Linked DNA regions of Diceros bicornis minor. The protein of the gene in region 3 purifies or fractionates together with the protein of the main gene of each other region. This does not show direct contact. Links are inferred from orthologs where the notes say so. Each region holds a gene or a part of one and is shown on either strand. Other genes may lie near its edges.

Evidence for each region.
Region 1: the proteins of PRPF8 (region 3) and PRPF19 purify together in Homo sapiens (affinity purification with mass spectrometry; 5 studies listed by BioGRID and IntAct, with this or other methods). This does not show direct contact. The link is inferred for Diceros bicornis minor from reciprocal best matches to the Homo sapiens genes PRPF8 and PRPF19.
Region 2: the proteins of PRPF8 (region 3) and SMU1 purify together in Homo sapiens (affinity purification with mass spectrometry; 3 studies listed by BioGRID, with this or other methods). This does not show direct contact. The link is inferred for Diceros bicornis minor from reciprocal best matches to the Homo sapiens genes PRPF8 and SMU1.
Region 4: the proteins of PRPF8 (region 3) and SNW1 purify together in Homo sapiens (affinity purification with mass spectrometry; 5 studies listed by BioGRID and IntAct, with this or other methods). This does not show direct contact. The link is inferred for Diceros bicornis minor from reciprocal best matches to the Homo sapiens genes PRPF8 and SNW1.

What each region holds. Positions count from the first base shown.
Region 1 is NC_080770.1:12,513,234-12,521,324, forward strand, and holds the start of PRPF19 (pre-mRNA-processing factor 19), read left to right. Parts: upstream 1-5,055; 5' UTR 5,056-5,228; coding exon 5,229-5,247; intron 5,248-6,949; coding exon 6,950-7,099; intron 7,100-7,282; coding exon 7,283-7,359; intron 7,360-8,091. UniProt on the Homo sapiens protein: Ubiquitin-protein ligase which is a core component of several complexes mainly involved pre-mRNA splicing and DNA repair. Required for pre-mRNA splicing as component of the spliceosome.
Region 2 is NC_080761.1:53,144,737-53,152,553, reverse strand, and holds the start of SMU1 (WD40 repeat-containing protein SMU1), read left to right. Parts: upstream 1-4,714; 5' UTR 4,715-4,790; coding exon 4,791-4,816; intron 4,817-7,618; coding exon 7,619-7,817. UniProt on the Homo sapiens protein: Involved in pre-mRNA splicing as a component of the spliceosome. Regulates alternative splicing of the HSPG2 pre-mRNA. Required for normal accumulation of IK.
Region 3 is NC_080757.1:16,064,577-16,072,537, reverse strand, and holds the start of PRPF8 (pre-mRNA-processing-splicing factor 8), read right to left. Parts: upstream 3,114-7,961; 5' UTR 3,063-3,113; intron 2,872-3,062; 5' UTR 2,861-2,871; coding exon 2,761-2,860; intron 2,284-2,760; coding exon 2,115-2,283; intron 1,111-2,114; coding exon 946-1,110; intron 857-945; coding exon 638-856; intron 506-637; coding exon 293-505; intron 167-292; coding exon 41-166; intron 1-40. UniProt on the Homo sapiens protein: Plays a role in pre-mRNA splicing as core component of precatalytic, catalytic and postcatalytic spliceosomal complexes, both of the predominant U2-type spliceosome and the minor U12-type spliceosome.
Region 4 is NC_080763.1:25,536,459-25,544,431, forward strand, and holds the start of SNW1 (SNW domain-containing protein 1), read right to left. Parts: upstream 3,123-7,973; 5' UTR 3,066-3,122; coding exon 3,052-3,065; intron 3,002-3,051; coding exon of another isoform or gene 2,753-3,001; exon of another isoform or gene 2,459-2,752; intron 1-2,458. Other genes in the region: ADCK1 (aarF domain-containing protein kinase 1), read left to right, coding at 2,753-3,001, 6,289-6,370. UniProt on the Homo sapiens protein: Involved in pre-mRNA splicing as component of the spliceosome. As a component of the minor spliceosome, involved in the splicing of U12-type introns in pre-mRNAs.

The DNA.
Region 1 (8,091 bases), on a different chromosome or scaffold from region 3:
TCGTCTGCGCACGCGCAAGGCGGGAGGAGCCCGGGGACCCGCCGGCCTCCTCCACGGTTCAGACCGCGGCAGTGGGCGCATGCGCCGTACTTTCTCGATTACGTTTTTTTCCCCCAAGCATTCCTTCCGAGAGAAGAGTGAGATCGGAATTTCGAGCTGGGAACGAAAGTCTCTGGCAGGAAAGGAGAAGAAGTGACTACTGTATAGCTGGGCTGTAAAGTGCGTAAACTGGATCTTTGAATTTGGGATCGAAGCCTATCCGCCTCTTCAGGCCCTCGGCATTTCGGGCAATGTAGTTCTCGAGCTACAGATGCCTCCAGGGGCATTGTGGGAAATGTAGTTCTAACGAAGAGGCGCCAGAGGGCACCTGGTGTTTTGAGAAACTTTTCGCGCTAAAAAGGCACAAAGGAAAAAGGTGTTAGAGAAGAAGTTAGAGGCACACAACGCTGGGAAAATGCATCTGCTCCTTCTGAGAGCAATTCCACACCAGCACTCTGCAGATAGCTCCCAAACGTTCACTCAATTTTAAAGAAAAGGAACCAACTCCCAGACCCCATTTCTATAAAAAGGCAGCAAGCAGTACGAGGGGGAACGACCAGGGACTTGGCAAAAGGTGATCCCTTGCCTGCTTTGTGATTCTAGGCATCCCGCTTCATCTCTCTGGGTCTCAGTTATTTCAACTTTACTATAAAGTATTATAAAGTTCTAAAAATACCATTTCGCTCCACTGTAGGTGTGGAGATTCATGAAATAACGAGAGTGAACATTTTAAAAAAACATCCAAGATGCTTTGGGAATGCTTTGATCACATTGACTGCCATAGGGAGGCTGCCCCTTTGATGTTAAAACAGTTCCTGAAACCCAACACTCTAAAGCGGAACTCTTTTGTCCCCCGCTTCCTGAATCAGCCTTCTAATTCTGCCTTCTTCCCAGACTACACACTCTAGTAGCATCCAGTCTGTCACCTCTTCCAGTTGTTCCTTTCCTTCAGATGTTTCTCAGACACATCCATCCTCCTCTGGACCCTCATCACTTCCTGCATCAGCGAAGGGTCTCTGTTCCAGAACAGGCTCTGGTAGCATTCTGAGCCTCACTTTCCAGTCTTTCTAACAGTTGCAACTTTACATTTGCTTGTGAGATTTGTGATTTGTAGAACTACCAATCTCAAATCACAGACTTCCCTGTGCAAGAAACATAATTTTCTTTTTTTCCTATAAGGAGTTCATTTCTGTTCAACTCTGTTTTCCATCTAAGTGTTGTAGAAACAATCTCAGATAGTTCAGGGTTCTTCCTCAGATAGTTCAGGGTTCTTCCTACCCTTGATTTTCAGCTTGTACACACTTTTTGGAAAATTAATTAGGGCCAAGGTTGTGGGGGTGGGAATTCATTGAATCCTCAGTGTCAGTTGTTTGAGCTATATCGTCCTGCCTGATCCTCCGTCACTTGTCCACACAGGTTGCCATTTAATCTTCCTGGGAAACAGAGCTTCTTCTGGGTTATTGGCCAATGTGTCCCCTTGCTTCCCAAGCAGCAGCAGCCTTGGCGGGGGGGAGAAGGGCATAGAGTTCCTTTCTTGGGGACCCACCAACAGCTATCCCCTATGTCTCCTTTCCCAGCCTAGGGAATCTTTATCTCTTCTAGGGGGAGACTGGGAGAAATCTGAGATTGAGGTTTTTTTTTGTGTGTGTGTGAGGAAGATCAGCCCTGAGCTAACATCCATGCTAATCCTCCTCTTTTTGCTGAGGAAGACTGGCTGTGAGCTAACATCTATTGCCAATCCTCCTCCTTTTTTTTTTCCCCAAAGCCCCAGTAGATAGTTGTATGTCATAGTTGCACATCCTTCTAGTTGCTGTATGTGGGACGCGGCCTCAGCATCGGGTGCGTGCCTGGGATCCGAACCCGGTGCCGCCAGTAGCAGAGCGCGCGCACTTAACCACTAAGCCGCGGGGCTGGCCCTGGCTTGAGATTGAGTTCTTACCTGTTTAATATTTACTCCAAAATCAGTCGCCCTGAATCCTTTCTATTCCATGAGGGGCTGGCTTTGAAACTCAGAAGGCTTGAAAGGACTCCCTTTTTCCTCCATTCTTCTGTCACAGCCATAAGCTCCCCAGTATAGGGACTCCTCTGGTTTTGCTCACAGTGGAATCCCCAATGCCTAGTACAGTGCCTTACTGGCACACAATGGGCACTCAATAAATATTTGTCCAATAAATGAACCACTGCATCTCTCTCCTTCCAGTCTGTCCTCCAACCCATCCAGTGAGTGTCTTCCAGAGGAATCTTCTGGATGTGTGGTTATCTCTCCATAGCTCAACTGCTCTTCTGCTGCCAGCCCAATCAAGTCTAACCACCTCTGCTTCAAGGCTCCACGTAAATGGATCCATTTTATTTCCTACCATGTCCAAGTACGGAAGACGCCTGGCCTGTCAGGCAGCCTGTCATCCAACCAACAATAGTTATGAAGTTCCTGCTATGTGTCAGGCACCATGTTAGACTCTCAGAAACAACAGTGGCTAGAACAACTATGGTTCTGCCATCATGGAGTTTACAGTTGAATGGAGAACCCAGACATCGAACAGATACTTGTAAATAATTAAATGATTCTAGTTATCCAGAGTGGCCCAGAGGAGAATTACAGCGTGCTGTGGGGACCAAACTTCAGTCAGGGGTCAAGAAAAACGCGCCAGAGGAAGTGCCATTTAAGGCGAGACTGGTGTTTACATTGGAGGGGATGGGAGGGGAGGAGAAGAAAAGAGGGAGTTGGGGAAAGTGTTCCAGACAAAAATACTGGAACCAGCCAGAGTGGGTAAGTTTGAGGACTTAAAAGGCCAGTATGGCAGGAGAGAAGTTGAGGTGAGACTGTGAGGGTCAGAATGGGCCAGATGGTGCAGGACGTGGGGGTGAGTTTCCTCTGCCAGAACCACTCTCCCTCATTCAGGTCTCAGCAAAAGTGTCACCTCCTCGGAGATGCCCTCCCTGAATATCCTGCCTAAAATAGTCCATCCCTCTGATCCATCCTATCCACCTTACTCTGATTTGTTTTATTCTTAGCACTTACTCTCTGGAATTTTCTTCTTATGTGCTGATTGTCTATGCTGCCCCACCCCCCAAACCCAATGTAAGCACCAAGAGAGCAGAAACCTTGTCTTTCTTGTTCATCATTTGTATCTCCAGTTATCAGAACACGGCCTGGCACCTAGGAGGCACCCAACCAGTATTTGCTGAATGAATGAAAAGCCTGGGGAGTATCGGGAATAGAGTTTTCATTGAAAGTAGATCACTGGCTCTTCTGAGGAAAGTGGATTAGAAGGGGGCCAGGCTGGGATCAAGAAGACCAATTAGGATGCTATTTTATTGGTGCAGGGGAGAGATGATAGTAGTTTGGACAATCTTGCTTGGCTTTAGGGATAATGATAACAAACATGAATATTTATATTGTACTTACTATGTGTCAGGCTTAGTTCAAAGCATTTTTTTAAACATTAACTCCTCACAACAACCCTGTGAGTTAATTCAACCCTTGTTATCACTCCCTCCATTTTACAGATGAGGAAATTAAGGCAGAGAAGTTCACACAGCTTACTAGCTGAGTGGAGCTGGGGTTAGAACACAATCCGACTTTAGAGTCCACGCCTTTGGCCACTATGCTGTCTGCCTTTCATACCTGCAACTTTTCTTCTTCTCTCCAAGCTTTTGCTTATGCTGTACCTGCTCTTGAGCTGCCCTCTAGTCTCCTTCTCTTCTATCTGAATATTGCCCATCTGTCAAAGTCCAGCTCGTTCACACCTCTCCAGTGAAGAAGACTTCACTGACCACACCTGTCTCTCCTGCTGCTTTGTCTGGATCCCACACCACATGTTCTGTACATGATTCCTGAAAGTATCTTATCTTTGTCGACGTAAATAATCCGTAATCAATCTATAAATCAAAATTGGGGTGGGTTTATTACGAGCCAACTTTTGAGGACCATAGCCTGGGACCTTCCTTCCCCAAGGAAGGAGGGGCACCAGAGAAGTGGGGTGTACAGAGCAGTTATATACTGTCAAAGAGCACATATCACATATGATTGCAATGTCCCTTTTACAATAGCCACAAGATCGCCGTGTCAGATTGCCCTGCCAGAATAGCTATTGATGGACACAGAGCGTGGCAGGTCTGCTGTCTCGATGGGCGTGGCTGGATGCAGGTCTGTTCTCAAGTTGGGTGGTCACAGGATGAGTGCAGCAATCAAATCCTAGCCTAAGGAGAAATGCTTATCCTTAAGGAAATGCCAATGTGGGGGACGTTGCATCCTTATCTTAAGGACATTTACTCTTCTCTTTGGGACATGGTAAAGCAGATACACAATGCATGTTTAATGGTGACAGGCCCTTTTGGGAAAACAAACTCAGGCCTAATTAGTTTTACACCAAATGGCTTCCTCATATGCTCCAATATATCCTATTGCTTGCCATTTATTTATCACTTATAGATATCCACAAAGAATCCCACACGATCTGAGCTGGAAAGGACCTAGAAGCCATGTAGGAAAGGGGCAGAGAAGCTGATGACTTGCCCAAGATCACAGAGCAAATTGGTAGTAAACGCAGGACCAGAACAGTTTCTTGACCCGTGTTAGTTTCTCTACCTGTCTGCATCTGTACTTTCTTCACCGTGTCACCCAGCAGTGTCCCTGGGTAGTCCGAGAAACACCTGTCTCAGAATCACATGGGGCATGCACTGAAAATGCAGACTTTCCAAGGCAGGCCCAGGAATACGCATTTTAACAAGTTCGTTAGTAAATTCTCACGCACACCAAAGACTGCAAGACTCCGTACGATCCCATGGCCCGGCAGAGGGCCAGTCTCAGAAAAGCGTTGCTGCATTGCTTTGGCTTTAAATTCCAACTGCATCATGGGAAATGTAGTTTCGGCTCGCCTCTCCCCTCGCCGCGGGACCGCTTTACGGAAGGAGCCGAGTCAGTCCGGAAATAGACGAGTGCTCCCTGGCGGGCCCTTTCCTGCACGGTTGCATTCTGGGAAAGGGCAGTTTCCGTTAGGTGCTGGAGGCTGAGGCGCGCGACCGGCCGCAGTCCCACGTGAAGCGCGACGCGAGCATCGCTCGGCGGGTCGCTCCCCGCTCGCCGCGGAGCGTTCCGGAAGCCGCCGGGAACCGGAAGTGGCCCGCGGCGGCTCAGAAGCTAATCCCGGAGCTCGGTGCGAGGCGCCTCGGAGCGCGGCGACGGCGCCATGTCCCTGATCTGCTCGAGTGAGTATCGGCGGCGGCCGATCGCGGGTCGCAGGAGGCCGGAGAGCCGAGCGGGAGGATCTGGGGTCGGGGCGGAGGTGAAAGCAGGGCTCCCGGGAGGCCGGGCGGCGGCCTGTCAGCACGGGGGTCCTTCTCCTCCCCCTCAGCTGGGGGTGCGTTTGCGCAGCGCTTCACAGTTTACGTAACGCCTCAAGTTTATGGTCGCAGGCATCCCTGGGGCCAGCCACCTCGTTTACGTAGTGGGGACTGGGGCCTGGACGGGGGGAGCTGGTGCAGGAATCGGGGAACCCGAAGGCTGGTGCAGGAGCCGCCTCAGATTGGCTTTGTGACCTGGCTTAAGCCTCTGGGCCTCAGTTACCCCATTTGCAAAATGAGGGCTTTGCACTGGATGTTGTCTGAGGTCCCGCCCTGGAGTCAGAGCTTCTGCAGATTGCCAAGGTCACGCAGTGAGATGGAGGCAGTGACAGGGCTGGAAGCCAGGTCTCCGGCTCCCAACCTCATCTTGCACGACTAATAAAAACAGCGTGCATTTATGAAGCCTTTATTGGTTTACAACGCACTTCCAAGTCGGTGATCTCATTTTATCCTCCCAAGAATTCTCCAAAGCAGGAATAAAGGTCCCGGCCGGGTTTACAGATGAGGGTGTAAGGCTCCAGGAGAGTGTGGCTTATCTAAAGCTGCACAGCTAGTAATTGGCAGAGCTGGGTGATGGAGCTGGGTTCTCTGACCCTGAATCCGTGCTTTTTTCATGCCTTGTACTGTCTTTCCTTTTGGTATTTTATTGTGGCATAGAGATGTTTTCCGTTATTGTTTCATCCCGTGACTGGTCTCTCATCCTTTTCTCTATTTGCGTCCTAATTGTCAAGCCCTTGACTCTTCTCAGAACCTCTCCATAAATCAAAAAAAAGGGAGGGAATAAGGAAGGAAGGAAAATGATGTCTAGAAAGAGGAACCTTCACATTGAAAAAATTACAGGTTGCACAGTATTGTCCCATTCATTGTTTCTTTTGTATCTTGAAGAACCTCTCTTCTGTGTTCCCCACCACCATCCTTCCTCTCATTCGCTCATGTTAGATGTTAACCCAGTGCCTGCTGGGCATCTGCATTGTCCTGGAAGTCAGAGACCAGCTGTAATCCCTATGCTCAGGGGTGCACAGTCTACTGAGGCAGGCGTGTAAATGATACCTCTGTTGGGGGTTGTGGTGAGGATGAATTAAATCTCTGGAAAGTGTTTCCAATCGTGCTTGGTACCTAGTAAACACCATGTAAATGTTTTTTATTCTTATAGCACTTGTCATATTGCTTTGTAATTTCTTTGTCTAATAATCCATCTAGGCTCTAGACTGAGATTTGAGTGGCTTCATGTGTATCTCCATGTCCTGGAGTATAAGGAGTGACTAAGCATCTTTGTTCAAAAACAAGATGGGCAGGGTTATTGACTGCTCTTTAGGTGTCTCGTACGTAGTTGTTGTGCAATAATTACTTGTTGACTATCTGAGTGTCAGGAGACTGATGGAGAAGCCAGTTATGTAGCTGGAAAGCATTCTGGAGACAGGACAAAACTGGCTTGGTGTCATGTCTTGATTCCTGTGAGTTGAGTGTGGGGATGCATGGTCTTGTGGGGGCCAGTAGTGAGTGAGGCATCTCTTTGGCCCAAGGTCCCTTTCACCACCCCTGCTCACTGCCTGCCTTTTCTCTGCAGTCTCCAATGAAGTGCCAGAGCACCCGTGCGTGTCCCCTGTCTCTCACCATGTCTACGAGCGGCGGCTCATTGAGAAGTATATTGCAGAGAATGGCACAGACCCCATCAACAACCAGCCTCTGTCCGAGGAGCAGCTCATCGACATCAAAGGTGCCCAGTGGCTGGCCTCAGTCCAGGGCCATCTTAGCTCAGAGCCTGAGAGGGTGGGAGGTGGTACCAGTGCACTGGAGGAGGAGATGGTTGTGTGTTAATGCAGGCTAAAGAGAAAAGAGTGGTGGAGAGGAAGAGTCCCCGGGTTATGGATCTTCATACCTGCTTTCCCTCTCTTGGCAGTTGCTCACCCCATCCGGCCCAAACCTCCCTCAGCTACCAGCATCCCAGCCATTCTGAAAGCCTTGCAGGATGAGTGGGTGAGTCCCTGGATGAGAATTGATGTCTTCCCTACTCGAAGAGAATGGATCACTGGACTAGAACTAGGGGGTGGGAGGGATGGAGCATTAGTTTCTTTTTTGAGGGGTAGGATGATAGCAGAGGAGGAGCCCGGTTGTTGAAATCACACAGATCTGGGTTTCACGCATAGCTCCATTGCTCCCTTACCGTGTGACCTTGGTCATGTGCCTCATATCCCAGTCTTGATTTTCCTGACTGTGTGACATGGATTAGTGCCCACCTCTTAGGGTGTTGGGAGAATCAGAATAAGATTAGAGTATAAACTTTGTGACGTCAGGGACTTGTTTTATTCATCAATATGTCCTCAGCACGAGAGCAGCGCCTGGTACATAGTAGGTGCTCTAAAATATGAATAAATGAATGCATACATCTTGAGGGACTGTCTGGGACAGTGCCTGACACAATGAGGACATTCAATAAATAGCAGCAGAGGCATTATTATTCCCTTTTGGTGAGGTGACAGCATGCCATCTGAGGTTTGCTGGTAAATTAAAGACGAGGGGGATGGAAAAGAGTTGGCTCCCACTCCTGTCTGTGTGCCTGGTGTTTGGCGTGAGCTAGGAGCTCGGGAGTGGCTGCCAGCACTGGCATTCAGGGTCACTCAGATGCTGCCTGCATCACTGATACTGGTCTAGGCTGTGGCATAGGAGGCAGTGTCCTCTTATCAAGGGCAGGCTCTTCTGCTGGATGCT
Region 2 (7,817 bases), on a different chromosome or scaffold from region 3:
GCTCTCTCAGCTAAAGCCGCCTCACACTTCTGTCTTACTCATCTCATGGCTCCCCCAACCTTAGAACCTTTCAGCTGCTCCTGCTCTTGAGTGCCTGATCTCTCCACATTTTCAGGGTCATAATTCTGAGACAGAGAGAAAAACTGACTGACTCAACTCATCTTTTTGATCCAGTTCAGGTCGTAGGATGCCGGTCAGCCTATGGTTTGTCCGCTCTGGGGTCTGGTACCTACTTCTAGTGCAATCAGTTTGGACTGGGATGGAGACTGGAGTCACATGGTATAAAACATGGTCACTATGGTTGCTCTTTTAGGTGGTGCTGTGGGTGAGGCTATCTCCTTAGAAGATGCCTCCACGATAGGCATGTGTAGCTCAGGTCGCGTCCAAGCGTCATGTCGTCAGGCTAGTCAGTCCCACTTCCTTGCCCTCCTGGGAAGGCATCTTTCCCTCCTGCTTCCCTCCAGTCCTCTAAGCCTAGACTTGGCTAGTCCACCAAGGACAGCATCTGCAGCCACCGATTTGGACATTGGTCAAAGAAGGGAGGGAAGGGCCGGGAGTCAGCGTAAATGAGCTTTTACAAGCTTGTGACTAACCGGCTGTGAGATCTGGGTGGGGCCCTTCAGTTCCTCCCCTCCACTTTCCTGTCCGTGTGATGGGACTCTTCAGTGCCTCCCGCCAGCCTCACAGAGGAGACCGTGCAGACAGGGTTGGCTGTCCACCCAACAGTCATTCCACTAGCTCCATCTCCTCTTCCTTGCAGACGATCTGCGATTGGGTTTGGATGCTCAGGAAAGTAGCAAAGTGGTCCCGTCACAGCCCCAGAGGCACATGTGCATGTTCAGGCCTGCCATGGTAATTCCATTCTCCTTGCCTGCGATGGCTTCAACTTGACAATGGACATATGATGCCGCCTTGGCTAATGTATCAGCTGAAGGAGGAAGGGTTTCTGGGACAGTTTTGTGGAGGAACTTCCCTTTTGACTCTAGGACCAGGGACTTTTTGCAGTCTCTGAAGGGAATAGGCTTATCCTTTGGGAGTTACAGGAAAGCATATTTTGTTCCAAGTTGGAACAGGTGGCTTTCATTGAAGTAGGGATATGAAAAAGATGAAGGGCCTTCAGCAGGGATGATGCCGGGATTCCTGCCCTGGGCTAGGAAGTGGGAATTAAACAGGAGGAGGTTGAGTTAGAAGACCTCTAAGTCACATCCTGCCATGAGCAAGCAGAATTGTGTGATAAGTTTTCTCTAGACTTAGCCTTTTTATCATGTTAGATGAAACTGGTCTAGTTTAATAGGAGCGGCCAAACTTTCGCCCCATTTTGGCACTCAAATATTGACCCTGTTTCTACTTCCTTTGCCCATTGGTCCAAGATCTCACTCCCCTACACCATTCCTCTTTAATAACCAGTCAGACACCTGGAGGCCTGGTTTAAAAGGGCAGCTTTTCTGTGGTTGGCCTGCCCTCTGCTGGATTAAGGAGATGGACTGCAGAGACGTGGACTTCTGGGAAGGGCCAGTTTTCCTGAAAGGGGATGTGATCAGGAGAACTGATTTCTCTTGAGGTCACTCTAGATCATTCGTTTGCCAGAAATTAGATCTAGGAGGCTGTGACCCAGCCTCTGAAGTGGGGGTGGGAAGCTTCCTGATGAAAACAGCTGCCTGGTTAGAGGTCAGAAGTTGGCTGTGTTGTGTGCCCACCCGCCTGAGTTTCTTAATCCACATATGGATGGAGAGATGAGATAGACCTCATTTGTCTAGTGTTAAAGACAAAATTTCTCAGACAAATTGATCTTTAGCAATTGTCAAAGTTTATCAACTTACTAATAAAGGATCAGCAAGATGACAAAGCATACGCTTTGGGGATGGAAAGGATATGGAAATTGATGGGTTATATAGTTGGGATACAGAAAACATATAAGCAGCTAGTTTAGGGGGGGAAAAAAACCTCCCTAGCTAGGTAAAGATTGCAGTTTCATGACATATAGTAACAAAAATGTCATAGTCAAGTCCGTTATTAGAGAAGAGACATGGATGAGAAGGGGTTTGCGATGCCAGGGGCATTGACTGTCAATCAGAGATTAAAAATTCAATACATCTAAGAAGCAAAGGATGAGGATGCATATGTGGCTGCTAACTGTAATCATAAAGTTTCATTTCTCAAGAATCATGTCTGATGATCTGATTGTCATGGATGCATAAACCACAGACACAGCCGCAAATAACAAGTTCTGACTTGAAACAGGCCACTTGGCACCGGGGATTTTCTCAAGCAGCAAGCAATGCAGATAGGATACAGTTTACACCCACCCCCAGCCCCTACCCTTGCCTCACACACCTTTTCTTCTTTAGTTTAGAGGCAATTTTTTTCCTCTGAAATTAGAACGATCAGAGTTTGAATTTTTTCACATCAATTAATTTTTCAGATAACTGACTTTTGAGTGTTTAAGTACTGTAACTTTTCTTCTTGAAAGTTTTAAAAAAGATTTTTATTTTTACATGCTTATGAAAAAAATTTTAATGATGCAGAAAACTGAAGAGAATAAAATGTTAGTCCAAATCTTATCACACAGCTGATGTTAGGTGAATATCATCCAAAGAGCCTTTACGTATACGTACAGCAGCAGACTAGATAGATGGATAGATAGAACAGGCTTATGATACTTTTTCTGAAAATCTTGAGGCTCAACATGTTTTGGAATTTGGATTTTTTTATATTTTGGTATGATAATTTGGTATATATGCTGTATATCTTATAATATCTTCCAGCAGGATCTAGGCAGTACTCCATAATTAAATATATTAACATTTCTGTGTATGAATATTCACACTAAGAGATGTTTAAAAGACTGCAAATAGCCTCTCTTGAATTCAGGACAGATTTCGCTGCTAAAAGACTTATAAAATATCTTTAATTTTCACAGCTTTTTAGATTTCAGAATTGCAGGTAAGGAATTGCGGACCTGTGCCTTCATAAAATAGGATAATATAATACATGCTATTTTTTTGGAGAAAAAGTAATCAATTTAATTGTACCTGTAACTGACTGAATAAAAAGAAACTGAAGTGAAACCAAAGGAACTGCACACTTTACATAATGTTTCTTTAACACAAGAGATATTATTTTCTAAAATGTCTTTCTAAGGTTAAAGAAAGAAGGAAAATTAATAAGAGATTGGAGTCCTTACATTGGAATCATTTCTGATGGAGATCTTCCCAACGCGTTCTCAGTTCTATTAGGCTCAAGGCCTTCCAAATATTTTGTAACATTCTGTTTGGTATCTTGAAATTTATAGATAATAGAATCTATTCACACAGAAAATGAAAAAAAAAAAAGTAATGCCCAATATATAGGAAAAGTAAAAAGAAATTAATCTGTTAGAAAATATAGTGACATGTATTTCAATATTTAAATCCTTGGGCATTACTACTAAAGACATCATGAAGCAATGAGATGCTTGCATCTATGTACAATGAACAAGTTTGGATTTAATAGGAGTCATAAGAAGAGAAGCCATTCCATTCAAAATGAAAGCAGAGGTGTGGTGGACACTGGAATGAAAACTGGTGTTAAGAAATTACAGATAAGACATTTGTATAAGTGATATAAGGAAGTGACCTTAATTGAAGTAAGAATAACATAAGTACCAGGTAGAGAAAATGAAGGCATATGCTGTTGTTGGAAATGAGCTGAGTCTTATTTTCAAGGAAGATGTTATAATAATTTTCTATGTTGTGTAATGTGATGGGATAGTGAAAGAATATCTCAGAAATCAGACACCCATCTAGATATCTCACCCACGCTGGAGCAAACATTTAGGCTCTTAAGACCTTTGAGATCTTGGAGACCATGACCTGCAAGAGTTGACGGGAAATAGAGAAAGATTTGAAAAAAAAAGCAGTCTTTAGGAGGCTACAGAGAAGTGGTGTGGCAGACGTTTGGGGACATATCAGATAAGACTAAAAGCCAACAGGAAATCTCCAAATCATTTCAATACGTAACTTTCCCAGCATAGATTTCTTATCATTGTGCTGCAAATATTTAAAAAAATTTATACAGAATGGCAATACAATATTTTTAAAATAGCTTTTATGAAATTCATTGATAGCTCTACATTTCACTTGTCTCTACTAATTTAGTAACGTATGGTTTAAAGTCTATTAAAGGGAGTCTCAAGCCTCCCTGTACACATTTGCATTTGGTTTCATTGTTTTTCCAGTAATCGAACCCACTGCTGTGAAACTCTTTCCAACTAAATACTTAGTTGGAAATGCTATAAGTAATTTAGCTCTTTACAAGAAGTGGGTATGCAAATCCTAACTGGGCCCCAAACTTTCATAACTAGATTGATTAAACTGTGTTTTGGCTTCAAACTTTTTTATTAATTTATTTATTTAAACTCAATGAACTCTTCCTGCACGTGTTGGCTAGCGGTCCATTGCTTTCGAATGTATTAGTCTCCCAGTCGGGTATTGTAAATTCAATCCTATCTTTAAATCTAATCAACTAATTACATCAAATAAAAGCAAAATTTCCAAACCAGCGCAAGCAGAAGTCTCCCCCCAGCGAGGAGTCTGGAGACTTCTCCGGAGCAGGCACATGGACTCGACTTCCGGCGGCCCCTCGAGGCTCCGCCCCTCACGTACGCCACGCCCCCTTCCGTACACAGCGCCTCCAGAGCAGGCGTCGGGCGTCGAGCGGAAGTGACTTAGGCGGCTGCCGGAGGTGTCGTTGGTGTGTTGCGCTCCTGGGCCTGAGAGTCGAGTGGGGCCTGCGCCTGGGAAGACAGCGCAATGTCGATCGAAATCGAGTCCTCGGAGTGAGTCCTGCGGTGGCGGGTGTTCGCGGAGTGGCGGGGCCGGGAGGGTGGGGGGCGGGGTGGAAGGGGCCCCGGGGGAGGCGTCCGAGAGGCTGGGGGGTGGAGCAGCATCGCCTTGCGCGCAGAGAAGCTGCTTGGATCTGGCTATCTCGGAGGCGGCCCCGTGGGAAAGTAGCGGAGCAGAAGCCCAAAGCCCCGGGGGAGGGCGCGGGGCGGGGGGAGGACGCGCATTGACTCCCGGCGCGCAGTGACTGAGCGAATTACCCATCCACTCTGGACTCCAGGCCCAAGGGGGCTTGGACTCTGAGCCTTCTTTCCCTCCCCGCCCCCCTTAAGCAGTGTGCTTCGTTTCCTCCTCTGTGCTTGCACGGCCCCTCTGCCTTCTTCCGCCCAGCACTTAGCCGGTATTGTCGCTGTCTGCCCACCCTGCCAGCCCGTGTAGGCGCCTAGGGGCTCCTTTTCATTATGGTCTCGGTGCCGAGCACACCGTAGAGGCTCCATTACTGCCTTTGGAGTGCGTGAACCACTAGCTGTTTTATCAGGCTCTGTCTGGCGCTGAAGTTTGGTTAGTGTGTGAGCTCTGTGTAGCTACAAAGGAGAGACAGAATCTGGAGATTGGGCCAGAAGAAGGGTAGATTTGGTAGGGTGGGGGACTAATGAGTGACTGAAGAAGGTCTTCAGTGAACTTCTCTAGGACTCCACCCTCCACCTTGCCCTTGCCAACACTTAATTAAATCAGCAGACAACGTTTGTGTCCTGGGTGCCAGCGAGGGAGAGGACTTGTCCTGAAGATCTGCCAGAGGAGGAAGCGAAGTTTATTCATTCAACAAATATTGAAGTCTGCTATGTACTGTTCTAGATCTTGGGGATACAGTAGTGAACAAAACAGACAACACTCCTTGCCCGTATAGAAAGTACGCTGTGATTGGGGAAGGCAAACAACAGACAAAAACAATAAGTGAAATATGAGGCTTAACAGATGGTGATAAGTGTGGTGGAGAAAAATAAAGCAAAGAAGGGTGATAGAGAGTGCTGGTGATGAAGACAACTAAGTCAGGGCGGGAGTTGGAAAAGGATCCCACGCTTTGGGGCTTGAATAACAATAGACACCGACCATTCTCCCAGCCTCGGGCTGCTGCATGCTTTTATTATCAATAATAGCTACAATTTGCTAAGTATTTTCTATGCTAGTCACACTATACGCAGTATAGTTAACCCTTTCACCAGCCCTACAGGAAAGGTATTTTTCTTAACAAATGAGGAAACAGGCATGGAGAGGTTAACTGACTTGCCCAGGGCCACAGTTAGTAACTGATGGAACTCTTATTCAAACCTCAGCCTATCTCAGAAGCTTGTAGCTCTTTATGTATTACATTGTGTTTGAAGGAAGTGAATTTGATTTTGGCCGTGTCAAAGATGAGGTCTTTGTAGAGAGGGTGTCTCATTTGGGGAGTGTAAATGGAAGTGTGCAGAGGAAGATAGTATGGTACTAGAATAGCAGGGATCTAAGCCTGGGTATCTTAAAGGGGCTGTGAGAGAAAAGATTACAGACTACAGTAATCAGTTCCCTTCTGCGGGAGTTTTTAAGAAGAGGGTGTTGTGGCTTTCCTGGCAGGAATCTATGCTCAAGAGCCACCTGCCAGCTTGAATCTTCATTTTTCCGCTTATCTCTGTTACTCGGTCAAATCCTCATCTGTAAAATGGACGTAATAGTGATACCTACTTCATAGGGTTGTTTTGAGGAGTAAATGAATCAATATGTCTCACACGCTTAGAACCGTACCTGGTATGTAGTAAACACATAGTAAACATTGGTTATTGTTTTTTGGTTATTATTTCTCCCCTGGGAAAGGGAATTGATTAAATTTCAGTCTGAAATCCCTTCCAACCAGAACAGTCTGACCCTCTGTACTAGTGCCATCCAAGAGAAATGCAGTGTGAGCCACACATACATTTAAGGAAAGAGAAGGAAAACTGTATCACAGCAGCGTACAGTGAACTTTTACAGTCTATATGAACAGATTCTTCACCAGACTTCTTGATATTAAGCCCAAGATCAAGAAATTTTAACTATATATATTTAACTATGAATAACTTACAAGTTTTCTGTCACGTGTTGAAAATGGTTGCTTATCCTCTCAATATTTGGAGATTGTCTGGGTCCTCTTTTCCTTAGAAAACTGAATCCACAATGTTTTTATTTCACTTGTTCTGAAAATTGGGTAATAAAGCTAGTGGGTAAGTGTTATTTTTGTGAATGAGGACACACAGTTTTGTTTTGCTTTTGTGTACAGTATAGCTCTACTTATTTGTGTTTAAGAAAATCTCAACTCATGTTTTTTGATTGTCGCTTTAAAAATGGAGGAAATCAACAATCATTTAGAGTATTCTGTGTCAATGACTAGATCAGGTTTAAAATATTTCACTAAAGTGTGCAACAATATAATCATAAATTAATAAGAAACTTGGCAAAATAAAAAAATCTCTGGCCTTGGAAGTAAGAGAGTCACCTTGGTACCAACTCCCTGTCTAGCTAACTGTGAGAATGGGCAAATTATTCCCCCTCTCTGAACCCCACTGCTCCTGTTTCTCAGCTGGAAGTAGGACTGGATGATCCTCAAGGTCCCTTGTAACTTAGATTCTGTGAGTTTTGGGAAAGTTGTATTCGCATGATAATGAAATGGAAAGTAGGTAGTGAGAGGAGGATGGTTGAGTAGGAGAGGTAAGCTGGAGTGGGCTTATTTTGTGGCCTCTTTGGTGAGTAAGGATCCCTGAGCCGGCTGACTTGTTTTCTTCTTTCAGTGTGATCCGTCTCATCATGCAGTACCTGAAAGAGAACAGTTTACATCGGGCGTTGGCCACGTTACAGGAAGAGACTACTGTGTCTCTGAATACCGTGGACAGCATTGAGAGTTTTGTGGCCGACATTAATAGTGGCCATTGGGATACTGTTTTACAGGCTATACAGTCTCTGAAATTGCCAGACAAAACCCTCATTGAC
Region 3 (7,961 bases):
GCCAGCCTTCTTTCCCCCAGCTGTGTTCTAGCTCTCTCACCAGGTGAGGTGGACATGGTGTGGAAGGTTGTTGTACAAGTAAGGAAAAGCAATCTTGTATTCAGTGCGGATAGGCTGCCGGATGATGATCTTGTTAATATCATTAAACTCATTCCAGTCTTCATCCCTACGGTACAAAATCAAGGATGAGCAGACTAGTTGGAGAGTTTGGAAGCTACAAGGAGATCTTAAGGATCAAGAGTAGATTTTATTCAACCCAAGGTGCCTAAAATCCCTATTCTCTCCAACTTACTGTAGGTTGATATCTCGAACAAGAGGTTCAAATTTGGGGCCTCCAGGAATGGCCATATTGAGTGCTTTAGAGGTAAAAAACGCCTTCAGGTCAAACAGATAGAAGTAGTTGTCATCCACCAAGTCTGTAAGGAGCTGATTGGCCAGGCGGTAGAGAGTGGACATCATGGGCAGCGTGAACTGCCAGCGCTGGTAAGTGGAGCCATTCACATACCTAGGAAAAAAAAGAAGAGCCCGCATCAGGGAGGTATACCAGCTAGCCAAGCCACACTACCCGTTGTTCTCCCAGAACTCCTTGTGGATTTCCAAAACTCCCACAGGAGTGTTAACTCCAACTGTCACTCACTTCCGGCTGTCCCTCAGTGGCTGGTGGTCATAGAACCAGTCCAACACAGGGGCATCCTCCTCAGGGTCCAACTCTAGCTGAATGGCCTCCAAAGGCTCAACATCTAGGATGTTGTCGGCATAGTCCAAAGGCGGCTCTTCATCATCAAAAGGGGGGAAACGCATCCTCTTGAAATGCCTCCTGTCTCTTTTTTCTCGACGCATCATGATCCACATTGACCTGGAAGCCAACAATGTCACACAATGGTTTCTACCCACTGCCCCACAACCACCACCACCACACATGGTTATATTCCAGCACTATCTCACCCCCACTGAGAGATGTAGACAGGCTCAATGACCCAGGGAATCTCATTGACAAAGGAAATGGCTCCAGTAATGTGGTACAGCACAGGCACATCTCGAATCTGTTCCCAAGGCATAGGCATGTTCTCCAGGAGCTTGAGGACTGCATGGGGCATGTACTTTAGGGCACTGCAACGTTAGGAAGAGAGATGATTAGAAATGACAAAGTGTTAGCTGTTACCTGTGCCGTGCACAGAAGCCACACGGTACCATAGTATCACATTCCACGGAAAACCCTGCCTCAAAGTCCAAACTCCCAAACATAGACAGGCCCGCCATGATCGGCAACTCTGCCTCTCCCTCTCCAATTATGTCACTCTTCTTCTTAAACTTCACAGTCCCAAAATACTGGGTTTCAGTCCCTCTAAATCAACAGCTGTCCCTCTAAAGACAGCTTTTAGGCTGTCACACATTCTATTCTCTCTGTACCGTCCCATAAATAATAATACAATATTTACCATACTTTATTGTAACCATTTGTCTCATATCTGTCATGCCACTAGACCGTAAGCTCCAAAAAGGCCATTACTTCCTGTTCACTGCTATATCCCTAGCACCTAGCACAGTTCTCAAAAAACATATATATACACTTTTTTTTTCTTTTTTTTTGAAATAAACAAAACTTCCATGTCTGTCTTAGACCAGCTCATTAAGTGGCTAACATTTTTGTGTCCAAACAGAAAAGGGATTTGCTAAGGCATTTGTACCTATACTCAATCAGCTTGGGGACAGAGAAAAACAAGATTATAGACACCTCAGGAGTTAAACATCCGGAACCTCAGAATTCTGGTCACTGAGGAGTTACAGGCAACAAGAATGTACAAAGTGTCCTGCTCTGGGCTCCAATCCATTCAAAAATAGGAACATCTTACCATAGCACCAACAGGACAAATTAAGCTCCAGTCCCAGACCAAGAAGAAAAATTAGGGCAATAAAGAATATAACTGGAAGATCTGGAAATTATCACAGAATTCTAGTGGTTTTCCCTCTTCTCTTATAACCACCAAGATGGGCTGTCACAGAAGATGCCTGTCCCAAAATGACAGAGCAGCTATCCAGGACTGTGACCTATGAGATAGGGAGAAGGGAAAGGGGCCAAGCTCCAAATGAAATAATTCCAGGATGCTCCTTACCCCAAGTAGACCCTTTTGTCATGGCGAAACTTCCTGTTGGTCATGTCTCCATGGTCTCGAATGATCTTCCTGACATGCTCTGGGGGCATGTCTTCCTTCTGAGCATCCACAAATCCGAACTTCCGCTTTTCTGCATAGCGCTTGGCTTGCAATTGCTGCCATTTGCGGGCTACAAAGACACCTCAGTTTAAAGGACTGCACACCCTTGGCCTAATCATTCCCACCTCTTGCCCTAGGGTAAGCTCCTGTCTGGATGAGGGAGAGCTGTGCGTACAGCTGGAGTGCTCCCTGCCAATTCTCGTCATTTCACTCCGCTTTATTTTTTCCTTCATCACATTTATCACTGCCTGACGTTTTTGTTACAGATTTTTTTTTTTAAGTTTTTATTGTCTATTTCCCTCACTGCAATTTAAACCTTATCAGGGCAGGAGTTTGTCTTCATCACTATTGTATCCCCATTGGTTGGATCAGTGCCTGCAAATAACAGACGCTTTTAAAGACTTGATCAGACGAAAAAATAAATGGGGCTAATAAGGGAACTGACACCTAACGTTTTGACACTTGCCAAAACGGGGAAAGGGTTCAAACCCGCTGCGCGCACGCGCACACCCGCCCCCAAGTAGCCAGGCCTGCACGCGTTCTTCACCTTTCTCCTGCAGCTTCTCCTCCGACATGTAGTCTGGCAGCGGGGCTAGAGGGCCGGGCACCGGGTTACCCGGCCCTCGGTATGGAAATACTCCGGCCATGCCCGGAGAATCTGGGGGGCGGCGGAAGGGAAAAATTAACAAGCCACAAGGCCCGGGCCTACAAGAGGCGCAGCAGGAACACGTCGAGAACCCCGGCCTGCAGTCCCGCCTCGCTCAGAGTGCGTACTGCCCAATCCCTCGGGCCACTCAGCCCGATCCAACCACGCCCCCCGCAGCCCGGCCCTTGAAGCCCCTCACGCACCCCCAAAGCCCCTCACACCGTCGGCCGATTTCCCCGCAGCGCAATGGCGGCAAGCCTACGTCCGCTCTGCGTTCCCAACACCGGGAAGTGCGCAACCGGAGTTCAGTAGTGGATCCAATAGACGTCGAAGAGCTCAGATGGATTACAGAGCTCACCAATTAGAGTTGCATTTCGGGCTGAAGGGGGCGGGTCCATAGGCGGAAAGATTTGAACGCGAAGGGGTGTGGTCGGAGGAGCCGTAAGCTCCGCCTCCCGCGTTTCAGGGGCTGTCTCCGGTCTCTAGGCGACCTCGCACTGTTATCCGTGACTGGCGTCGGACAGTCAAAGACCCAGGCTTCCAGATTTTTAATAAATTTGTCAAAATTTGCACATTATTCTGTGTCTAGTCTCATAAATGCAGACTTGGGGTACAATAGTAGCTCTGAGTCAATCAGTCCTTTGTTCATGCATTCATTCATTCGTTCATTCAACCATCATTTATTGAGCGTCCGCTATGTATCAGAGATTGGGAATACAGCAGGGAAAAAGCCAACATTACGGAGCTCACAGGGTAGCGGGAAGGCAGGCAAAAACCCAGGTTCCTACAGTGCCGCGTGAACTCCCTGTACAGGAGTTCAGGGGCAGAGCATTTTAATCCTGCCTGCGAAGTCAAGGAAGAGTTAGTCAATGAACCTAGAAAAATAAAAGAGGCCTTGGGGAACAACATTGCTGGGTGTCTTTTTCCTCTCCTCCGTTCCTCTTTTCTCTCTCTGGCAATGATTACACTATGGAGTGTATAGTAGACACCCTATAAATGCTTCTTGACTCCCTCAGGCTCTGCCTGTCTTACTGCCTGAATTGCTCTCCATCTCCTGCCATCCTTGTTTTCTCTCTTGCTCTATCCTTTGGTAACAACTTTGAATCTAGTTTAAGGATAAATTTTTTTGAATTCACACCAAGTTTATTGTGGAAGGTGCAGAGGAAATGAAACCCATATAGCCTCTCAGTTTAGTTGGGAATTCAGGATTCATAGGTGAAATAACTAGAGGAAAATGCAAAGGAGAGTCCAGGCAAGTGCTGGCTGGTATGGAGGCTTCTACAGTTCAAAGGAGGGAGAGGAGCATTATTAAAGATTTGATGATGCGTCTTTTTCTCTTCAGATGGAATAAATCTTTTGCCTTTTAAAGATTTGATGGAGGGCCGGCCCTGTGGCTTAGCGGTTAATTGCGTGTGCTCCGCTACTGGTGGCCCCGGGTTCGGATCCCAGACGCGCACCCGACGCACCACTTCTCCGGCCATGCTGAGGCCACATACAGCCACTAGAAAGATGTGCAACTATGACATACAACTATCTACTGGGGCTTTGGGGAAAAAAAAGGAGCAGGATTGGCAACAGATGTTAGCTCAGAGCTGGTCTTCCTCAGCAAAAAGAAGAGGATTAGCATGGATGTTAGCTCAGGGCTGATATTCCTCACAAAAAAAAAAAAAAGATTTGGTGGAGATGCGTGGATGTGAAGGATTTGATGGGATAAGGAAAGAGTAAGGAAAAAAGAATCCCAGGTGGTGGAAACTGCTACAGTTAGAGTTTAGAAAGAGAAACGAACATGGCATGCTCTAAAACAGCAGCCGATCAATCTGGCTACAGTAGAAAGTCCAGCATCATCATTATTATGTACATTATCATCATTATGTTCATCATCGTCATTGTAGTGAAGTCCTTACCACCTGCGTAAGCTTCACTATGTGCCAGATATTGTTATAAACTCTGGTAAAATCTTAATATTCTCTATAGCTTCCTTAATAGTATTGTACCAATGTCATTTTTCTGGTTTTTATTGTCCTACTATTGTCATGTAAGAAATTCTTGGGCCAGCCCCTGGCTTAGCGGTTGAGTGCATGCACTCTGCTACTGGCAGCCCAGGTTCGGATCCCAGGCGCGCACCGACGCTCGCTTGTCTGGCCATGCTGAGGCAGCGTCCCACATACAGCAACTAGAAGGATGTGCAACTATGACATACAACTATCTGCCGGAGCTTTGGGGAGAAAAAGGGAAGAAAAAAAAAGGAGGAGGATTGGCAATAGATGTTAGCTGAGGGCCGGTCTTCCTCAGCAAAAGGAGAAGGATTGGCATGGATGAGCTCAGGGCTGATCTTCCTCACAAAAAAAAAAAAAAAGAAAAGAAATTCTTAAGTGGGTGAAGAGTATACAGGAAATCTCTTTACTATTTTCTAAACAACATTATTGAGATATAATTTGCATTTCATAAAGTTCACCTGTTTAAAGTATACAATCCAATGATTTTTAGTATATTTATAGAGTCATGCAATTATCATCATTATCTAGTTCCACATTCTCATCATCCCGAAAAGAAAATTTGTACCCGTTAACACTCACTCCCCGTTTCCTCCCACCTCCTACTCCTCAGTCCTAGGCAACCACTAATCTACTTTCTGTCTCTATAGATTTGCCTGATCTGGACGTTTCATATAAATGGTATCATAGAATAGTGGTCTTTTGTGACTGGCTTCTTTTACTTAGCATAATGATTTTGAGATTCATCCTTGTTGTAATAAAATACTACATATATATTATCTATATATATACGTACATATCTTCCTTGGAGAAATATGTTTTCAAGTCCTTTGCCCATTTTAACATTGGGTTGTCTTTTCATTGTTGAGTTGTAGGAGTTCTTTATATAGTCTAGATACAAGTTCCCTGTCATATATATGATATGCAAAATTTTTCTCCCATTCTTTGAGTTATCTTTTCACTTTCTTTATGGTGTTCTTTGAAGCACAAAAGTTTTTAATTAAACCCAACTTATCAAATCTTCTCTTCTATTGCTTAAGATTTGGTATCAAATCTTAGAAATCATTGCCTAACCCAAGTCACAAAGATATGCTCCTACATTTTCCTCTAAGAGTTATTTTTTTGTTTTTTGTTGTTGTTGTTGTATGTTTGTGATAGTTGTATGTCATAGTTGCACATCCTTCTAGTTGCTGTACGTGGGACGCAGCTTCAGCATGGCCAGACAAGCGAGCGTCAGTGTGCGCCTGGGATCCAAACCTGGGCCACCAGCAGCAGAGCGCTCGCACTTAACTGCTAAGCCACTGGGCCGGCGCTCCTCTAAGAGTTTTATAGTTTTGGCTCTTACATGTAGGTCTATGATTCATATTGATTTAATTTCTATGTATGGTGTGAAATAGGGGTCCAAATTAATTCTTCTGCATGTGGATATCCAGTTGTCCCAGCACCGTTTGTTTAAAAGACTATTCTTTCCCCTTTGAATGGTCTTGGACACTTTGTCAAAAATAAACTGACCATTTATTTGTTTCTGGACTCTCAACTCTATCCCAATGATCTATATGTTTATTTTTATGCTCTGTGCTATTTTTGCAACTTCCACATGAGCCTAAAATTGTTTCAAAATGAAGAGTTAATAAATAAATAAGCTAATTTAATCCTCAAAACAGCTTTACAAGATAGGTGTTATTATTATCCCCATTTTACTGATGAGACACTCAGCCTCAGAAAGGTTGAGTCATCTGCCTTGGGTCACATGATTAATTACACAAACTATGTGTCAGGTTCTGTCTAACAACTTTAAAGATTTTATTTATTTATTTTTTCCCCCCAAAGCCCCAGTAGATAGTTGTATGTCATAGCTGCACATCCTTCTAGTTGCTGTATGTGGGACACGGCCTCAGCATGGCCGGAGAAGCGGTGTGTTGGTGCACACCCGGGATCTGAACCCGGGCCGCCAGCAGCGGAGCGCGCACACTTAACTGCTAAGCCAGGGGGCCGGCCCTCTAACAACTTTATATTCATTAGTTCATTTAACTGTCACAATAATCCAATGAGGTAGGTGCTATTATTAGCCTTATTTTATAGACAAAGAAACTGAAGTGCAGAGGAGCTGACCCATTTGCTCAAGTTCCTACAGACAGTAAATAATGGAGACAGTAAATAATGCGTCTCGAGCTCAGATTCTTAATCATATAGCCATATCATCTTCTATGCTCATGCTAAGAAGCATAGATGATGTTGGATGCAAAAATTTGGGCCAAATTAAAAGCTGGTGTTGAATTCCAAGACTTTTGCCCATGATTTGACCTATTTAACAATGAATTCCAAGCTTTTTCTTTTAAAGCTGGAAAACACTTGTGCAAATGAAATAATCTACAAATGAAGAGACTAAGACTTAAAAAATTAAGAACTTCTCTTATTTAAGGTCTCTTAACTGGTCAAATATAGTCTGTCTGTGTTAATCTGAGGAAGCTCTGTTGAGTAGGAAAGTGACCAAGCCAGGAACAGACCTGAACAGAAAATACTAGCTGCCGTTATTATGGACCACTCATTCACCTAAATCAGTCTCCTCATTCCTTGAGGAGTTTAAAATTGGACTTGGAGGTAACTGTGGGTCATACAAATGAGGGAGTCCTCTGGCTAGAAATACACAAGCGGCAGTCTAGGAGAGATTGAATCATCAGATCAAAGTTGATACTAGAGCCATGAGAAAGGATCAGTTCACAGAAGAAAGAATAACAGAAAAGCGGATGAGGAAGGCTTGAGACACACACAGTCTTGGACAGGAGGCCAGAAAAAGCCATGGAAGGAATAGATGGAAAGGTTGGGAGAGACCCACAGGAAAGAACTTCAAGAAAAGGAAGCCCTTGGGGCTGGCCTTGTGGTGTATCTGCTAAGTTCACGAGTTCTGCTTCGGACGCCTGTGGTTCGCCAGTTGGGATCCCAGGTGCCGACCTACTCACCGTTCATCAAGCCATGTTGAGGTGGCGTCCCACACAGAAGAACCAGAAGGACCTACAACTAAGATATACAGCTATGTACTGGGGCTTTGGAGAGAAAAAAGAAAAAGAAGATTGGCAACAAATGTTAGCTCAGGACCAATCTTCCTCA
Region 4 (7,973 bases), on a different chromosome or scaffold from region 3:
TTACATTTGCTATTCCCTCTGCCATAAAATATTCTATTTACTCACTAAGAATATTTTTTGCCTATAGTGCTTTCATAGAAAACTCTTCCCCAGATCTTTTAGTGCTTGCTTCTTAGCATTCATGTCTCTGCTCAATTATACCTCCCTAGAGCAGATTTCTGTCCACCTTGTCCAAAACAGCACTCCATCCCACGCTTTCAGTCACTCTCTATCCCTTCATCTTTAACTCCTACTATTCACTACCTAGGATTGCATTATTGATTTGTTTACTCATATATAGTCTGTCTCTCCTAGAACGTAAGCTCTGTGAGGATAAGGAGTTTGCCTGGCTGATTCAATACTGTAAAACCATCAATAGAAGAGTGCCAGGCACACAGTAGACCTTCAACAAATATTTACTAACAGAATGAAGGAATGGATGGATGAACGGAGTCAAAAGTTTTGGGCTTTTACCGTAGTTGTTTTCAGTAAACCATATATACCCAATACACAGGACAGAGACAAAGACAGTTACAAAGAAGCTAAAATATTTACTTCTATTTCATTTTTCTTTTCTTTTCTTTACCCTCTGTTGGAAGAACTGGTCACTAAAATGATGAAAAGGCAAGCAGCCTGCCAAAGCAAACAGTTTGGACAATCCAGTAAACAGGTAACCTGGCCTGGATTGAGGTCAGAATATACTTAAGTTTTCCAGAGGGTCTTAACTTTGTTGTTCCCTGTAAAGGATGACATTCCCACAAAGAGGCACACTCCTGGGGAAGGGGGGTACATAGGGGGCTGCGAATGTAAGGAGAAAGTCTACCCGAGTGGTTCTCAACTGGGGGCAAAATATCTACAATGCAGCTATTTGACAATATCTGGAGACATTCTGATGGTCAGGACTTGGGGGTAAGGGGCGGGACGAGGGTGATGATGCCAGTGGTATCTAGTGGGTAGAGGCCAAAGATGCTGCCAAACATCTCACCACGCACAGGACAGCCCCATGCAAGAATGAACTATCCACTCCAAAACGTCAATAGTGCCACTGTTAAGACATTTTGGTCTACCCTTTCCCCTTTACTAAAGAAAGTATATTAAATGCAAGCGATATTATTAGATACATAACCTTAAAAACACTTGAATTTAGAAAATTAAATCAATATGACTTTATTTAAATTGAGGTAACACTCGTATATAACATTATATAAATTTCAGGTATATATCATTATATTTCAATTTCTGTGTAGATTACATCATGTCCATCACCTAAAGACTAATTACCATCTCAGTATGACTTTATTTTTTTTTTTGAGGAAGATTGGCCCTGAGCTAACATCTGTTGCCAATCTTCCTCTTTTTCTTTTTTCTCCTCAAAGTCCCCGTACATAGTTGTATATCCTAGTTGTAGGTCCTTCTAGTTCTTCTACGTGGGAAGCTGCCTCAGCATGGCTTGATGAGCAGTGAGTAGGTCCCACGCCCAGGATCTGAACTGGTGAACCCAGGGCTGCCTAAGCAGAATGTGCGAACTTAACCACTACGTCACTGGGCTGGCCCCTCAGTATGACCTTAAATCTTTAGTTAGTAACAATCACGGGTGACACCAAGACTGCAACACATCAGTATGTCAAGTCCCTGCTGTTAAGAATCCCTGGTAAATCTTGGAGATAACAACACTTCACCTGGAAACTTGAGACCATCTCTAAAAACCAGATCAGTCAGAACTAACTCAACAAAATCAGAAAGCTATGTAGTCCCCTAGACTAGCCATTTAAAGATTGCACTCTGCCACTGTAATTTTAAGCACACAGTACCCACAACATCTCTGGTATTTTTCCTGTGTGTCTTTCTCAAATTCCACCTTTTCCACAAAACCTTTCCTCATAACCCTACTAATCTTTGTCACTGTGCCTCCCACCTGGAGAGCACTCAAACGTTTGCTGCCTGTAACATTTACTAATGGAAACTCTCCAGTTCATTCAGCTCACTTCATCTATTTCTTTTTGCACGTAAGTTAGTACTACACAAATAAGCATTTTGTGTTGTTCTTTGTTTCATATCTGTATGCCTTGTTACCACATCTTCCCTGCAGCCAAAGACTGTCAGATTTCCTTTTGCATACACACAAGCCCTGGGATAGCGCAAGGCACTCAAAAGTAATTCCCAAAAGAATTTTCTGATTAAAACATTTTTAGGATTCACAACTGTCGTCAACCAGGAAACGTACATGTGAGGAGAATGAGATGTGTTTAGGGAGCTCAAGCGGATGTCCTAAAATGATTCCTTTCTTTATAACCCTCTTTGACACACAACTTTTCCTGCTGCGTTCCCATGGAAAGTTTTTCTACTTAGATGGGGCAGCTAGGTCGCGGACTAGTGCAAGTTACGTAACTTCTTGGAATCTCCCAGTTAGGCAACTTTTTCTCAAAGGCAGGGACCACTTTACATGCAGTTACCGAGGCAACCGGGAACAGCAAAAATCTGAAGTGTTTCTACCTACGGAAGAAATTCTAAGGTTCAAAGTTGAAGTGCGGAGCAGCGGCGCGAATTAGTGGACAGCGGCCACTACTGTGGCTACTTGAAAATCTCTGTTCAGTGCCAGGCCCCCTTTTTTTTCAGGAAATCTTGTTTCGGGACAGAGACGGGAGAGAGACTTCGGCAGACAAACGGCCGGAAGACCGCTTCACTCCGCCCAGACAAACAAGCCACTGCCCTCCATACCCCATCGCGCCCACCCGAGCCGCGGACCCGAGGGAGCGCTCTCCACACCCCCAAGATGCTTAAGCCAAAAACACGTGGGACTCCTCGGCACCTGAGGCCACAGAACTCTTCGCCACGCCGCGGCTTTCGGCCCCATCGAGGGGGCGAACTCAACCCGGGAAGCCGCTCAGGAAAGACCCCAGCTTCGGCGAGGCCTAGTCGCCCCGGCGGCCGGCGGGAGGGCCTAGCCGTGATCTCGGCCAACGCTGCTCTGTGCCCCAGGCCGGGTCACCGCCCGGAGAGTGTGGGCAGAGAAAAGAAAAAGGTGGGTACTCCCAGACCCTTCCGTATCGAGGACCCGAATCAACAACCCACCTGGTGAGCGCCATCTTCTTCCGCTTCTTCCAGCGCGAGCGACAGCACCGCGGGGCGGGTCTTTCCCGGCGACAAGGAGGGGAAAGGAAGGCGCGCGCAACGCGCAGGCGCCGTAGACGAGGGCCTTCTGGGATTTGTAGTTCTTTGAACAAGAGACCTATTCGGTTCTCATCTAACGAGACCGAGCGGTTATAAAGGCATAAGCGCTTCGGTTAAGAAAAGCAAATGCATCGCTCGTACACTGTGACATGAGAGGGCGTTCCCTAGGCAAAATAAAGAAGTTGAGATGCTTTTTAAGCCGCTTTATTTTATTTCCCACTCAGTCTCGTTCTCCTTGTAGGAGTCTCAAATACAAGAGCCTTCCCGGGACGGCAACGTTATATAAAAGGGTGACAGGGTTTTAAAACAATAGGAAATCGTGAGACTGGCGAATGGAGAATTAATTCTTGGACGCTCTGAAAACATTCACACTCAAAACTTTTCTTTAAACGCTATCCCCTACCCCCTTACCTATCCCCCAAAACACTCTCCTGGGGAGGTATTGTGTGACCCTTAGTAAGTAGCCTTTAGTAGAACACTCCTCATGTGTATTATGTATGTATGTTTTTATGTGTATGTGTTTTAGATTGATTATGTGTTTTACATAGATTATGGATTAAACATAATCTTTGATGAAGTGATAGGATAAATGAAATCTGCTTCAAAATATTGGAGAGAGGGAAGTGGGAGGAGTACAGATGAAATGAAAATAGCCATGAGTTTTGATCATTGTTGAAACTGGATAATGGAGAAATGGATGTTCATTATACTATTCTCTCTACTTTTGTATATGTTTGAAATTTTCCCTGATAAAGAGTAGAAACAAACTTTTAATTGCAGTATAGCACACATATAGAAAGGTGCATACATTCTAAGTGTACAGCTCTTTGAATATTCCCAAGCCAAACACTTGTTTGAGCAGCAGAAGCACCCCCGACCCAGGATCATTTGATTTCTGGTGTGACAAGATGTTCTAGGCTCATCTAGTACTTTTTCTGCCTCAGACCTGGAATCAACCATTTCTCCAAGGAGCCCTCTTTTAAGTGGGAAAGTGATATTTAGAGAAAACAATCTGGATGCTACGAATGTTCATTGTAACTGAGTTGATTATTGTTTGCCTTTTCAGTGGATAGAGCTAAAAAATTCACATAAACATATTTTTTGAGAAAATGCATCATTCATTCATACTAATATATTCAATACAAATTTAGGATTACACAGATTTTACTTAAGTTTGATTTTATATGCATTTCTCTTCTGAAAATCTGGTCTAATGGTATTAACATAATTACTCATTTGCTTTATTCTACTATATATAAAATAGTATTCAGAATAACATTACTAATATGGTTACTAAACATATGCTTAGTGGTAATAGTTTCTGATTTTTTTTTTCAATTCTTTTTGTCATTAGGGTATCTCTCTCTAGGCATATATAGTCAAATTACATCGCTTTATAATTTTATTTATTTATTTATTTTTTCCCCCAAAGCCCCAGTAGATAGTTGTATGTCATAGCTGCATATCCTTCTAGTTGCTGTATGTGGGACGCGGCCTCAGCATGGCCGGAGAAGCGGTGCCTCAGTGCGCGCCCGGGATCCGAACCTGGGCCGCCAGCAGCGGAGCGCGCGCACTTAACCGCTAAGCCATGGGGCTGGCCCAAATTACATTGCTTTAAAGTGACTTAGAATAATTCCTCTGTGTGTGATTGTGCGGCTAACTTGATACCCAGTTAGTTTATTTATTTCATTTTGTTTTGGATTTTTAGTGGTTGCTTTTTTAAAAAAAATAGTTTTGTGAAACAGTTACGTGGTTTCAAAGCCAAAATTTACCAAACAGGTAGTGCATTTAGAGAAGTCTACATTCTTACCTTGTCTCTTCCATCCTTTTCCTTCCTTTCCCTGTAGATAACCTTTAAAAAAATATTTTTTATGGTTTATCCTTACATTTAAAAGTATACACAAATACATATATATTTGTATACTTCTCTTTCTTTTTTAGATAAATGGTAGATACCATACACACTTTTCTCCACCTTGCTTTTTTCTACTTATTAAAATACCTTGGAGATCACTCCTTTGCAGTATATAGAGATTATGTTGGAGATTTTGAGCAGAGAAGACACAAGATCTGACTTATATTTTAAGAAGGTCATTATGCGTGCTTTGTTAAAAATGGACTCCAAGAAGCAAGGGAGGAAATGGGGAGACCAGTTGGGTGGCTTTTGCAATAATTTAGGGGAGAGATGCTGATAGCTTAGGCAGGGAGTTAGTGGTAGAGATGGTAAGAAGAGATTGGAATCTGGATCTGTTTTGAAGGTATAACCAACAAATTTTGATGATGGTGTTGATGTGAAGTATGGAGGAGAGTAATCAAGGATGACTCCAAGGTTTTTCCCTGAGCAGTTAGAAGGATAGAGTTGCCATTTACTGAGATGGGAACACTGCAAGAGTGTCATGTTTGTGGGGAAACATCAGGAATTTGGTTTTGAACATGTTACATTTGAAATACTTATTAGATGGCCAAATAAATATGTCAAGTAGGCAGTTTATATGTAAGTTTGAAGTGTGGGGGGAAGTTCTGGGCTGGAGACCTTTGGAGGCAGATGGTATTTAAATTCATGGTACCAGATGAGATTACCCAGGAAAAGCGAGTGTAGGTACAGAAGAGAAGTGGTCCAAGGACAGGCTTCTAGAATGAACTCCAGTGTATAGAGGTTGGGGAGATGAGGAGGAACCGGGAAAGGAGACTGAGAAGGAATGGCCAGAGGTTTGATCAATGCAACCAGGAGAGAAAGCATCAGTCTCTCTTTTGGATCAGAAGCTGTACGTTTGTAGGCTTGAGTTACCAGTATCTATCTTTCCTGGCATTATAGCAAGAGCCTGTAACAGGGAAGAATAAAGCCACCATGCAAAAAGAAAGAGAAACCAGAAGGGTGAAGAGAAGGAGAGTAAGAGATTGACAGATGTTGAGATCTCTGACAATATTATGGGAGTTCCTGGGTCCAGCAGTGCCCGAAGACCACACCACCTTGAATCTTTTTTAATTAAGTGAGCCAATAAATGATTTTGTTGGCTTAAGCTAGTTTGAGTTGATTCTCTATCATTTGCAATGGAAAGGAATTTATACAGTGTTTATTTTCTGTGCTCCCATAAGACTTGTTCTTCCCGCATTCTTAACATTTATCACACTTTGTAGATTTTGATGGTTTACATGACTGCAAGGAAGATTGAATCTCTCTCACCATTGTATCCCTATCACCTTTGCCTGCACGATTTTGGTAAGTCCTCAACCCTCACTGGATTTCAGATTCCTTGTCTATAAAAGGACAGAATGGGCCCGGATAATATAAAAGATCCTTTCAAGTATCAAGATCCTTTGATTCTTGGTACTTTTGTCTACTTTTTCAACTTCTAGAGGTTTAAAAATTTGCTATTCCATGAACTATTGATAAACACAACAACTTAGACAAATCTCAAAGGCATCAAGCTGAGTGAAAGAAGCCAGTCTCAAAAGATTACATATTATGTGATTTCATTTATGACATTCTTGAAAAGATAAATCTATAGCGACAGAGAACAGATCAGTGTTGCCAGGGATTGGGGTGGAGGAAGTAATTGACCACCGTAAGGAAATTTTTTGGGGTGATGGAATTGTTCTGCATCCTGATTGTGATGATGATTACATGCATCTATACATGTGTTAAAATTTATAGAACTGTACACCAAAAAAGTCAGTTTTACTGTATGACAATTCAAAAAAATAAAATTTAGGGGCTGGCCCGAAGGTATAGTGGTTAAGTTTGCGCACTCTGCTTCAGCAGCTCGGGGTTTGCAAGTTTGGATACCGGGCATGGACCTACATGCCGCTCATCAAGCCATGCTGTGGCAGTGTCCCGTATACAAAGTAGAGGAAGACTGGCACAGATGTTAGCCCCGGGACCATCTTCCTCAAGCAAAAAGAGGAAGATTGGCAACAGATGTTAGCTCAAGGCCAATCTTCCTCACCAAAACAAAAAAAAAAGTTCTAAAAAATAAATAAAATTTAAAAAATGCCTGGTCTAGCTCTTACTAGCTCTACGGTTAGAAAGGCCTTCTTAGCCTCATTCTGCATCAGCAACATTTACTCTATGTTTGCTGTGATTCAGGGCACTCCTTGGATTCCTAGAGCCAGAGACGTGGTTTCATAAAATGTGTATTTTTAAGAAAAGTAATGGAATAGAAGATGTATTCATTTTCTATTGCTGTGTAACAAATGATCACAAACTTAGTGGCTTAAAACAACACCTATTTATCAGCTCACATTTTTGTAGGTCAGAAGGCTGGCACAGCATGACTGGGTTCTCTGTCCAGGGTATCAGAAGGCTGAAATTATAATGTTGGCCAGGCTGAATTCTCATCAGGCTGAGGCTCTGGAGAAAAATCCATCTCCCAGTTCATTCTTGTGGACAGAATTCAGATCCTTGCAGTTGTAGGTTTGAGGTCCCTGTTTTGTTGGATGCTGTCACAGGCCACTCCCAGGTCCTTCCCACGTGACCCCTGTAGGTTGTTCACACCATCGATGTTTGCTGTCTTCCAGGCCAACTGGGACACATCTCTCTGACTTTGTCTTCTGGTACCAGCCAGAGAAAACTCTCTGCTTTTAAAGGGCTCGTTAGTTAGGTCAGGCTCACCCAGATAATCTCCTTATCTTAAAGTCAACTGTGCTGTGTAACATAACACAATCAGGGGGACTGGTATCTCATCATATTCACAGCCCCAGGGATTATGCAGGGCTTGTACGCGGAGTGAGGGGGAGGGAGGAGACCCTCAGGGAGATCTTAGAATCCTGCCTGCCAGAAGATGTAAACCAAAAGAAAAAAAGCTGTTTTGGGGGCTGGCCCG